2 linked regions of the Cricetulus griseus genome follow. The protein of the gene in region 2 purifies or fractionates together with the protein of the main gene of each other region. This does not show direct contact. Links are inferred from orthologs where the notes say so. Each region holds a gene or a part of one and is shown on either strand. Other genes may lie near its edges.

The links. The genes of interacting proteins can lie anywhere in the genome.
Region 1: the proteins of Ubqln4 (region 2) and Gja1 purify together in Homo sapiens (affinity purification with western blotting; 3 studies listed by BioGRID). This does not show direct contact. The link is inferred for Cricetulus griseus from reciprocal best matches to the Homo sapiens genes UBQLN4 and GJA1.

The regions. Positions count from the first base shown.
Region 1 is NC_048595.1:253,062,588-253,068,951, forward strand, and holds the start of Gja1 (gap junction alpha-1 protein), read right to left. Parts: upstream 3,604-6,364; 5' UTR 3,427-3,603; intron 1-3,426. UniProt on the Homo sapiens protein: Gap junction protein that acts as a regulator of bladder capacity. A gap junction consists of a cluster of closely packed pairs of transmembrane channels, the connexons, through which materials of low MW diffuse from one cell to a neighboring cell.
Region 2 is NW_023276806.1:65,937,420-65,943,110, forward strand, and holds the end of Ubqln4 (ubiquilin-4), read right to left. Parts: intron 3,704-5,691; coding exon of another isoform or gene 3,650-3,703; exon of another isoform or gene 3,547-3,649; coding exon 3,394-3,546; 3' UTR 1,844-3,393; downstream 1-1,843. UniProt on the Homo sapiens protein: Regulator of protein degradation that mediates the proteasomal targeting of misfolded, mislocalized or accumulated proteins.

The DNA of each region.
Region 1 (6,364 bases), on a different chromosome or scaffold from region 2:
TCAGACAGCTTTTTTGTCCTGCTTCCACACCCTCATTTGAACACAGAATAGATCAGATTCCACAGAATGAGATAAACTGTGGTTAAGGGACCCCACCCCAAAGGTAGATGGGAACCAAGAGACAATCTCTTCCTCCATTCTCCAACCACTCAGCTCCTCTACCAAAGGTTGCTCAGTCAATTTGAGGGATGGGGGAAGGAGAAACTGCAGAGCAAAAGCCATATTCAACTGCCATCCAAATAAAAAAGCCGTCACTTTTTATTTCCTCTGCTTCCACTCACACCACCTCCAAAGACAGCTTATTAAACAATCCTGTTACTCTGTGACTATGTAAATACAGGTTTAAGATGCACAAGTATATTAAGGACGGTCTATTTGCTTCAATAAGCACTCCATGAGACAACGCATGTGTTCTATGCTTTTAGCTACCACCACAATAAAATGTAGCACTTTCAAAAGAGCTGTGAATATCATGTCTTCTAACTTTGGTAGCTTTTTCTGTGGCAAAATAGTAACTAAAACTTTTGGAACATAACTTTCTAAAAATTGTAGACAGGTAGAAAAATTGAGACATGAACTTTAGGCAAGTAACCTCAACAACTAACCATGGGTTGAATTTTGGCATCTCTACATAGTACACTAACAATCATGCAAAGTGGAGAATCTGTAACCAGTTACCCCAAAGATTCAAAATGCATTCGCACCGTCCTACCTAGAGGCAGGTGAGAATTGTTTTAGTCTTGGAAGTATCTATACTGACTGTGGACGTTAACGATACACACTAGATGATTACATTTTTTCTCTCCTGAGCTGAGCAGGATGTGCCTCAACATATCACAAGTCAAACAGAAGCTTGGAGGTGGAGTCACAGGTATTAATCAGTGGGTGACTTTTTCTATCATTCCCTTCCCCCGGGGCATAAAAAGTTTCTACAGTTCACACGGAGAGCTACACCTCTGCATACGGTAATAAAGTAGGACACAGTGTCCGCCATCCCTTCTCTCTGTGTCAGGATTGGAGCCGTCTAAGTGACCAAACGCCGCTCCCTATCCGGAAGGAAATGCAGCCTTCCTTTGCCTGCAACTGCCGGCTTTAGAAACAAACTTCCCATGGAAGGTCATGGAGGGATAAAAAGCCCGACTGCCAAGGATGAGACGGTGGGGCAGTGATGTTGAAGAGCCTCAGAGAGTCATTATAAAAACGTGGTATGCGTTAAGACAGCGGGAGATCAAAGCACTACCATCGGGAGCAGCAGGCAAAGGACGGTGGTTTTTACACACTGGGGAGACAGTCCAGTAATTCAGAATTCAGCACCTCACCAGGACAGAATGTACAGTCTGGAATTGTGCTCATTTTCACTCAACTTGGCCTACTAAGCAGAATCAACTCATTTGCCCCAAAGGTATTCTAGGTCCTCATTAGCATATTTTATTCCACAGGCTTTTATTTTCAGCTATTCTCAAAAAAAAAAAAAAAAATCACCATTAGGCTTCCTCATGGGACACTGCTGGCTGTTCAAGGTTGCCCAGTGGTCTTTTGGACTGGCACGATTCACCACTTTCAATCACTAATATTTTGCTTGGGGAACAAAGGAAATTAAACCCACCTCCAAACACAGCCGGGTAGGTTTTTAAGATCTCGATCTCTCTGCCCACCCGAAACCCAGCACCGGGAGGGAAGGGAAGCTCGCCTCCGGGCGCGGGCCGGGGAGTGCCGTCCAAGACTCTGCCAGACGTGCCCGGCGAGCGTTGGGTGGACCCGAGGGCGCGAACAGGAGATCTCTGCTCGGAACTCAAGGTTTGAATTTCCCAATCCTGAGCGGATTTGCCTCAGCACACGTCAGTAGCTGTGGCTCGGTTTCTCGAGGGGTCTTCTTTGCCCCTCCTTCTTCCGCCCCGCCTCGTTCTTAGGGAATTTCAAGAGTTTCCCCGAGTGTTACAAGTGCATTTACCAGCACTGGGACTCCCTAGGTATTCAGGGGCCCTTCCCAGGGGCTGCACCCAGCTACCCGACGAGTTTAGGGAGAATGGGGTGAGAAAGGGCAGCGTGGATGGGGAGGTATTAGACTGACAACTTAGTGATGAATTTGATCTCTTGCTCTTGGACCGGCGGGAAGCGGGCCCGTCTCCCCTCCCCCTTCGGGGGCAGAGGTCTGGACCGCGAAGCCCGGAGGCTGCGGAGAGCTGAGCTCAAGATGCTAAGATGGCAGGAGGGCGCGCAACCGGCCTCCCCAAAGCTTTCACTTCTGCTCCACTCTCGGCCTCAGCTGGTACAAAAAACAAACAACAAAAACCACTTCAATACAGACTCAGCTTGAATTATTTCGGGCTGGATTTAGGCGGGACAGAATGAACTCGGGGGCAAAGTGCTTTACAGAACGTGTTACCAATAATAATTTTTTAAATGCTTTAAGATGGAACCCTTTTAAACTGCACTTTAACATCATCTTTGCCTAGTGCTTAGCACCCTGACAGCGCCAACTCAAAATTGTCCCAACAGCTCCTAAGTGGCTACATGTCTGCGCAAGCAGGCTGGAGCGCGGGCGCGCGCGGCGCGGGGAGGTGGGGGGGGGAGGTAGCTCGCTCTAAAGTGCGGCTTCAAAAACGCCTTTCCCCCCATTCCTTCTAGGAGCTCGTGTTTTAGCAGTTGATTTTGAAAAAGCATCCTGGCACACACAGTCTCTAAAACGCCCGTTTCTCCTCTTAACGCTTCGTAAGTCACCACCACCCATTCAAGATTTCTCCTGCCCGGAGTTGCCAGCGTGGTGGAGTGAAAAGCTGGCTGTGCGTGCTACAGGGTTCGTCCCGAAGCACTGCGCTGGCTTGGACAAAGTAACTAGTGTTGCTCTAAAAGCCCCAACGGCAGCACCCTGATCTTCAGATCTTCTGGCTTAATCCTGAAAAGTCTAAGAAGAAACCACGTGGAAGTCAAGTAGCCGCAGCGTCTCAACAAAGCACCCCGTCACAAAAGGGGTACGCTTTTTCAAGGCTAAGGAACGGCGGCCAGTATTTCCATATGAAAAAGAAGCACGCAGTCTACAACACTATAGGAAGCACGTTAAGCAAACTCGACTGAAAAGTCCAACTCAAGAGCCCCCTCCAACTGCCCCCCCCCCGCCCGCCCGCAAGACCTACGCCATTCGTAACTACAGAAAAGTAAAATAGGGCTGCACAACAAAGAGCCAAATTCAGTAACTTGGCTCTTCACTCTACTTGGAAAAGTTTGAGGCTTTTACCTGTTGCATTGTCGGGAAAACTTTTGACCAAAATATAAATCAGCACGTGGAAACTAAAGGCACTTTGAAGTCCGTCATTCTACTTGCAGTACCCTAAGTCAAAAGGTGACAAGGCATTTATAAACCACAATAGAAGAGTTTTCCTTAACGAAAAAGACGCTAGAAGGTAAAGTGAGTTTTTCAAAACTTACTCTTTCGCTTAATGAAAGCGAAGCCGGCGCGCCAAAGCGGTGAGGCTCCTTGGAGGCTGAAGTCAAAGAAAAGGAGGGCTCAGGCTCCCAGACCTGTCTATTTAAAGTTTAAAAGTCTGCTGCTGTTTGGTACTTTCCTCACGCCTTCCCCCAATGAAAGAAAAGTGCTGATACCTCGTAAAAGCGCTTTTCTAACTTGGAGCACAGCGCTTTTAAAAGTTTCAAGCCACTGACTCAACTGGAAGGAGGGGCTAGGAGAAAGGGGAGGGAGGAAGAAAAGGCGGGGAGGAGGTGGGGAGAAGGCTGGTGAGCGTGGGGCTGAGCAGGCACTAGAAGCAGCCAGGGTCAAGATAAAGTTGTAGTTTGAACACGCTAAAGAAAAAAAAAAAAAAGAAAGAGAACAGCCCTAGATAGATTTACGTCCACCACCACTTGGCTGTGACTTCTCACAGATTAAATACTGTTGAGTCTAGTGCTTGCTTCACCAGATGACCAGGGACAGTGAGGATATGTACTTTTATGTTACATTTTCTAACCTAAAAAAACAAAAACAAAAAGTACAACAAATAAAAATGGGGGAGACAACGCTAACCAGTGCGGACTTGTTCTGGGTTGCCCAAGCTGTGTGAAGCTTGAGGTGGGTGTGAGTGATCTTTCTTATGACCTAATTCTCTTGCTCTTAAACATGGACAATTAACAAAGGAAAGAAACGGTGGGCATGGGAAAGACATTTCACAACCAGATGTGTGTAGGGGTATGTCTACCCTTTCAGCCTCTGGACTGTGTTAGGTATTTCTACGTATTCTTTCAACTAAGCACAAGAAGAAACGTGTTATGATATATCATGTATATAATTTTTGACTGAAGTGTTGATAGTGACCTCTACCAGATCTCCAAGGAAGTGAAAATTTATATCTCAGGCCTATTCAGGCCAACAATTTAACATTTAAATTTGCAGTGAGATGTCAGAGTTCTTTTTTTTTTTTTTTTACAACTGCAGACTAGAGTTGTCAGATACATTATCTTGCCTAAAGTGGCTCTGAAACCTTCATCCGCTCTTTCAATCATGTCCCTGGGAAGCCCAACCTGGTGACTGTTTGCCTCTCCACAAACTCTCTCCTCAGACCTGATGGGGTTTCTGAAGGCTTAAGTCATGTGGCCTCATTCCTAAGATCAGTAGCTTCTTTGAGGGCTCCCAGACATCCTCCAAGAGGGCTTGTGGTAGGACGAGTGCCATAAACAGGCTTCATTGGTATTGGACAGGGAAACCTCTTGGCCTTTGTACAGACATCCATTTGATCATGCTAAACTTTTCACACAAATACAGATACAGACCAAAGAAGGATGGCAAAGATTTCCTGGGAAATACTTCCCCAAGTATCTTCTCACTGCAATGACTAAGGACTGTTTGAAATCTCACCATTTGAGACACCAACATGCTCTTTACTTTGATTATCCCATTCTTATTAAGGTTTGCATCTCTTTAAGTTCAAAAAGGGAAAAGATGTAGAAGCAGAAACTATATTCTGACTTTCAAGGCTTCATGCTCAGCAACCTGAAATTAGTTGTTTTTTTTTCTTAACATTTATTTATTCTCTCTCTCTCTCTCTCTCTCTCTCTCTCTCTCTCTCTCTGTGTGTGTGTGTGTGTGTGTGTGTGTGTGTGTGTGTGTACAAGTGGAAGTTAGAGGACAACATGCAAAAGCTGGTTCTCTTTTTCCATCTCAAAGCTGAGCTAACACTGTAAGATCAGGAAGCAAGCACCTTTACCACGGATCCCTCTTATTGACCCTTATTAAATGTATTTACATAGTTTTTTTTTTTTGAGAAAAACAAACAAACTTCTCTCTGCATAGCTCCCAGGCTGTCCTGAAACTCACTACATAAACCAGGCTAGCCTCAAACTCACAGAGATCTGCCTTCTTCTGGCTTCCAGCACTGGGATTAAAGACGTGCACCACCATGCCTGGCTTATTCAGTTTGTTAACTGATACAATATAAGAGGTGGACATAATGTTTGAGTAATATGATGCTTTGCTACATGTGTAAAGTTGGTGTGTTGAACTCAGTATAAGCATATTTGTCTGCTGAAACATTTATCATCGTTTCCTATGGTAAAATATCTAGATTCTGAAAAGGAACTCTTTTTGAACACTTGATACATCATCATCTGTAGTCAATTTACCCATGCTTAACACACCACACTTAAAGGACAACCTCAGTAAAACCTAGTGTTCACAAATTGGCCACTCCCTGTTCCTCTTTATTTAATTTCCAGAAAGATTTGCTTGCTGGGTGTGGTGGCACATACCGTTAATCCCTCCTTCCAGGCAGAGGCAGGAGGATTCCTGTGAATTCAAGGCCAGCCTGGTTTATAAAGCAAGTTCCAGGACAGCCAGAGCTACACAAAGAAACTGTCTCAAAAAGCAAAAAAAAAAAAAAAAAAAAAATTTGCTTTATTTTTATAAAATTATTTGTTAAGTGCAATTATTACCAATATCTATTTTATTAATAACATTCCTATAATATCAATTCAGAATTAGTTGCAGAGGAAAAAAAAAGTTGTGATTGACAGCCTTTTACAATATAATTTTTTTCCCCTTGGTTTTTTGAGACAGGGTTTCTCCGTAACTTTGGAGCATGTCCTGGAACTCACTGTGGAGACCAAGGCTGGCCTCACACTCACAGAGATCCACCTGCCTCTGCCTCCTGAGTGATGGGATTAAAGGTGAGCGCCTCCACCACCTGGCTGGAATGGTGCTTCTTAATTGGAGAGTTGATGTCACTTTTTAATTTTGTTTACAAACACACACTTATGGGATTTTGAGATGCATAGAATCAATTTTAGGGATGTTACAGGTCATATGCTAACTGTTAAGTGATCCTTTTTCTTTTGAGACTGGGTCTATCTCTGTAGCACTGGCTTTGAACTCACCCAG
Region 2 (5,691 bases):
TGGACTATGAAATAAAACAGACAGCAAAATTTATAGTACATCCATAGGAACCAGTTATTTTTTAAATTTACTATGTATTATTTGTGTGAATGTGTGTGTGTGTGTGTGTGTGTGTGTGTGTGTATGCTCTCGTGCAAGTGTCTATGTGCTTTACCACATGTTTGTGTGGAAGTCACCGGACATGGCCTGGGAGTCGATTCTCTTCTTTCACTGTGGGATCTAGGGCTGTCTCAGGTAGTCAGGCTTGCACGGCAGGCAGTTGAGTCTTCTGCCCACCCAGAGCAGCCATTTCTGTTGACCATAGTACAATGTGTAGCTTCTTTGGCCTTGAATCTTAGATTCTACATTTCACAGGTCACCATCGGTGAGTGTAGTATAGCACAAAAGTAGAGACTCCCTGTCCTTTAAATATCCTTTATTTTGTACCCTTAAATCCATTCCCTGGTCATTCCTTATATCTTATATCTATATATTAAGATGCCTTAGTCTCTTTTGTTTAAACTTTGAATGCATTAAATTTCATTGTATAGTTATGGACCTATTATTACCTTGTTTTGTGACAGTGTCTTTCTGTGTAGGCCTGGCTGACCTAGAACTTATATATAAATCAGGCTGGCTATGAACTTTGCAGAGATCTGCCTGTCTCTGCCTGAGTGCTAGCTTGAAGGCGTGTGCCACTGTGTTGGCATTTATCTTATTTTAATATCATGCAAAAACAGCTTCACCCTCCTAAAAAAAATCTTTTTTTAAAGATTTTTTTATTTATTTTTATTATGTATACAACATTCTGCATCCATGTATATCTGCACACCAGAAGAGGGCACCAGATCTTATAATGGATGGCAGTGAGCCACCATGTGGTTGCTGGGAATTGAACTCAGGACCTCTGGAAGAGCAGTTGGTGCTCTTAACCACTGAGCCATCTCTCTAGTCCCCCCCCCACCCCCAAATCTTTATTTTTGGTTTGAGACAAGGTCTTACTAAATAACAATCTGGCCTTGACTCTGATTTTTCCTTTTTGTTTTTTTGAGACAGTGTTTCTCTGTTGGAACTCACTCTGTAGACCAGGCTGGCCTGGAACTCAAAAGAGATTCACCTGCCTCTGCCTCCTGAATGCTGGGATTAAAGGCATGCAACACCCAGCTTTTATTTTTTTTAAATGTTTGTTTTGCCTGCATGTATGTCTGTGTACCATGTGCATACCTGCTGCCTGCATAGGCCAGAATAAGCCGGTGCCAGGTCCCCTGAGCTGGAGCTACAGATGGTTGTTGAATCTTCCACACCCTAATAAGACCTCCGCTGATGTAGTAATTCAAATCATACCAAATCAAACAGAATTAGAAAAAGCCCATGTTTAATGGATACAATGCTCCCTGATGGCCTTCCAGTTCCCCAGAGAGGATATGGGAAAGGGAGACAGGAAAAGGCACAAAGTCTATTTTCTGGGAGGCAGTGTAAATACCCTGTGGGAGTGGTCTTGAGCATCTCTGGGAGAGGGGTCATCATTCCCCTTGATTCTTTTTTTTTTTCTTCTTTTCTTTTATCCAGCATTGGAATTTGCACTGAGAACTTGTCTGAAGCATAGTCTCTTTCTCCCATGCATGGTTCAATCTTATATCACCAGACTTTCCTCATAGCTTCATTGCATAAAAGATAAGGCAAGTGTGGAGGCTCAGCCTACAATCTCATCACTGGAACACTGAGGCAGAAGGCTGCTACATGCTCCAGGCCAGGTTGGGCTACATTGACACCTTCTCAGAACACCAAAACTCAAGACAGGCAATGAATGACCTTGTCTTCCACCTGAATCCTCCCTCAGAAATAAACACTGACAACATCAATGTACTCTCACAACAAAAATCATTTATTTACAAAGGCCAGGGTGGATGTTGGAAGTAAGAGAGGAAAAGGGCAGGCATGTCTGGACTACTTGGGACCCTTCCCCAACTGGAACAGGGTTCTTCTATCTCCCAGCCAGGGATCCTCCAAGTAGCTGGACCACAGAGCAGAGAGAATGTGTTGACAGCCTCTTCCTCAGTACTCCAGCTGAGCTAAACCTAATTTCTTATTAAAGGCATCACTGTTCCCACCCTTTCCTCAAATAGAACTTTCTGGTCTAGAGGGAACCAGCAAGGAATTGAAAGGCAGGAGCTCTGGAAGAGAAACCTCACTATTTTTTTCCACAAGAGTAATGGTGGTAAGGGTATCCGTTAGAGCCATTATCTTTAGAATTATCCAATATGCTATCTGGTTACCAAAGACCCAGAGACCCAGCTCTCCCAATGCTATATTCCTCCACTAGGCTGGCCCTTGTACCCACTCATCTCTGTTGACAAAGTTGTGAACCTGAAACCAACAAAGAACACACAACTCCCAACTTTCATGAATGCTCGTATGTGTATAACTTCTCCATACTGCTGAGAAAGATCCAACCCCATCATATCTCCTGGAGAGGGAAGCTCAAAGTACTGGAGCCTGAAGATATAGGCATGTCCTGGGTCATTGGGTCACGTGTGTGCATATGCATGTGTTGGAGACAATGGAACCAACTTGATTCCTTGTAGGTTGCACTGCTCAGCTTTGTTGAGCTCCATTCTTCAATTCAAACTCCACCAGTCTCTCTTCTGTCAGCCCTGAGCCTGGGTTCTCCAACCTGAAATCTACTGGTGTTTCTATATCCCAACTGTCAATTCGAACTTCCAAGCATTCAGCTTAGGCAGTCTTTCCCCAGTCCCTGCTTCCAGGAATTCTCAGCTCTTGCTCTTCAACACCAGCCCCTGCAGGTCTTGTCTGTCCTTGGTAATCCTGCCCAGAGTACTGACTCATTGCTCCCTTTGGGCAAGAGGACAGGCATCTTTCTCCCTGCCTCAGAGTCCCAAAGGAGCCCATGAGAATATGCTGGATGAATTTGCAGAATAGGGGTAGAGAAAGAAAACTATAGCATTTCATCAGTTCCTTTCCAGAGAGTGAAATTCAAACACTGGTTGGGTTGAGGTGAGGGAGGGAAAGGAAGAGAGTAAAGTAAATGTAAGGCAAACTAATCCCTAGTGGTACTGATGGAAGACTTCCAGGAAGCCAGGCGGGGTCCTCCTCTCTCAGACCCTGGGAGAAGACTGAACATTGCCAGAGTACTTGTGGGCAAGGAGGTAGGGCCAACTGACCACACAACTGTGCAAACTAAATAGCTCTGCTTAGAGGGCCAGGAGAGAAGATTTCATTAGATAGCAACCGAATCAAAATCCTTGGAAAGAGCTGTGGGGTTGTGCCCATGCCTCTAGTGTCACCCTGCTGTTTGTAGAGGTCAAAGAAGACAGGCTACAGAAGGTAGGGCTTGACAGAGAGCCAAAGGCTGGCGCTGAGAGGTGGGGAAGGCAGGAGGCACAGGCCAAGGGATCAGGAGAGCTGGGACCCCAGGAGTCTCTCAATAGCAGCATTGATGTCCCCTCCTGTGGCAATCAGGGCCTGCAGGTTGGCTTCACGGTTGACAAAGCCCATGGAGTTGAGCTGTTCCAGCTGCTGTTGAAATCTCACTTCTGGCACCGGCACCTGGAGGAGGCAGGCCTTGGCAAGTGGGCATGGGCCCATCCTAGGGCTAGCCCCTGTCTTCCTTCCTTTCTGTTTGAGAATGTCTTGCTATGTAGTATGTAGCTCAGGCTGGCCTACAACTGCTGGGATTGCAGGCATATAACACCGTGCCTGTCTCCTAGAGGGACAGTTTGAATTTGAGTGTATACATAATACCAGTAGGTCCCTAACACCCCCATGGTCAAGGATGGCTCTTGTATCCACTTGTCTCCCACCCCAGTCCAGGGCTTTGTGCTTAGCTGAGGAAAAGTGAGATGCAAACGAAGGACAGGGAACCTAGTCCCCAAGTTAGTAAATAACTATAACAATAAAACAGACGATATTTTTGTTAAACTTCCTAAGTCCCTGGTAGGCCTGGGTCAGCTTGTTCCTATATGCTCTCCAGAAGATGTTAATAGATGCTTCAAAAGACTGATGCTGGGACAGAGAAGTGGCTCAGTGATTATCTTCCTGAGGACCTGACTTTGATTCCTAGAACATGGTGGTTCACAACTGTCTGTAACTCTAGTTTCCAGGGATTTGATACTTCTTCAGGCCTCTGTGGGCACTAGGCACACACTTGGTGCCCAGACATATATGCTGACAAACCATTCATACATATAAAATAGAAACAAATAATCTGAAAAGAAAAAAAAAAAAGGGCTAAAGCTGGGCTAGGCATGTAGCTCAGTGGTAGAACACTCACCTACATGTGCAGCCTCTGGGTTTGATCTCCAACACAGACTCGCATGCACAAAGAGAACCCAGAGCTCTACGCTCAAATACGCTGAATGCTAAACATGCCCCTCTTGATAGTCTTCGCATCTACTACCACAGGAAAGGTCAGAGAAGCGCCCAGCAAGGAAAAAACCTGCTTAATTTTTTTAACCTGCCAATAAACACAACTATTAACAGAAGACAAGCCTTTTCTTTCAACACACTCCTATAAATATCTCTCGGAAATGTTTTGCTGTGGGATATTTGTGTACTGTGTGAAGATGTATTGCTATGTTTGGTGTAGTAAAAATTCTGAATGACCAATAGGTAGTCAGGAGGTATAGGTGGGACTTCTGGGCAGAGAGAGAGAAAACTCCAGGAAGAAGAAAGGCAGAGTTGTGAGCCAGGCATAGACAGGAAACAGGAGGTACAAGATGAAAGAGAGGTTAATGCCACGTGGCAGAACATAAATTAATATAAATGGGTTAATTTAAGTTATAAGAGCTAGTTGGAACAATTCTTTTTTTTTTGTTTTGTTACAGGGTTTCTCTGTGTAGCTTTGGAGCCTGTCCTGTAACTCACTTTGTAGACCAGGCAGGCCTCAAACTCACAAAGGTCTGCCTGCCCCTGCCTCCTGGGTGCTGGGATTAATGGTGTGCACCACCATCGCCTGACTAGATGGGACAATTCTAAGCTAAAGGCTAAGATTTCATAATTAAAACAAATCTCTGTGTTGTTATTTGTGAGCTGGCAGCCCCCAAAAAGTCCAACTCCAGTGTTTTCCCATGTGATGTTTGGGAAGCATAAATCTTGATCATGACCAAGACCCTGCAAGAGGAAGGCTGTTGTGGAGTATTTGTTTACACTGTTATGTCTGCCTAAGGTGCCTTCTGATTGGTTTAATAAAGAGCTAAATGGCTAATAGGTAGGCAGGAGAGAATAGACAACTTCCAGGCAGAGAGAGAGAGAATCAGGAAGGAGGAATCTAGGTACCTGATTTTACCATCACACTCAGAGCAAGCTGGATGTGCTATACTAAGAAGAGTTAACCAAGCCACGTGGGTGAATTTAAGCTATAAGAGCTAGTTGGAAAAAGCCTAAGCTAAGGCCAAGCTTTCATAATAAGTCTTCGGGTCATTATTTGCAGGCTGGAAGTCTAAAGATCATCTGACAAGAAAGCTTGCTACAGAAGGCTGGTGTTCACTGCCCACTTGATTAGATACACTTCCCTAGGGCCACACAGCAAGCCCTGCAGTGTCTGTCAGAGCCCTTCACAGTGCCCTGCTGACATTTCTCAGTCACAGTTTGTACTGGATGCACCTTAGAGATCAAGCTGACTCAGCCCTGTGAGTGTTTTACACAGACATCTGCAGAATGGTGCTTCTAGAAGAGGCACAGAGGTTACACCCC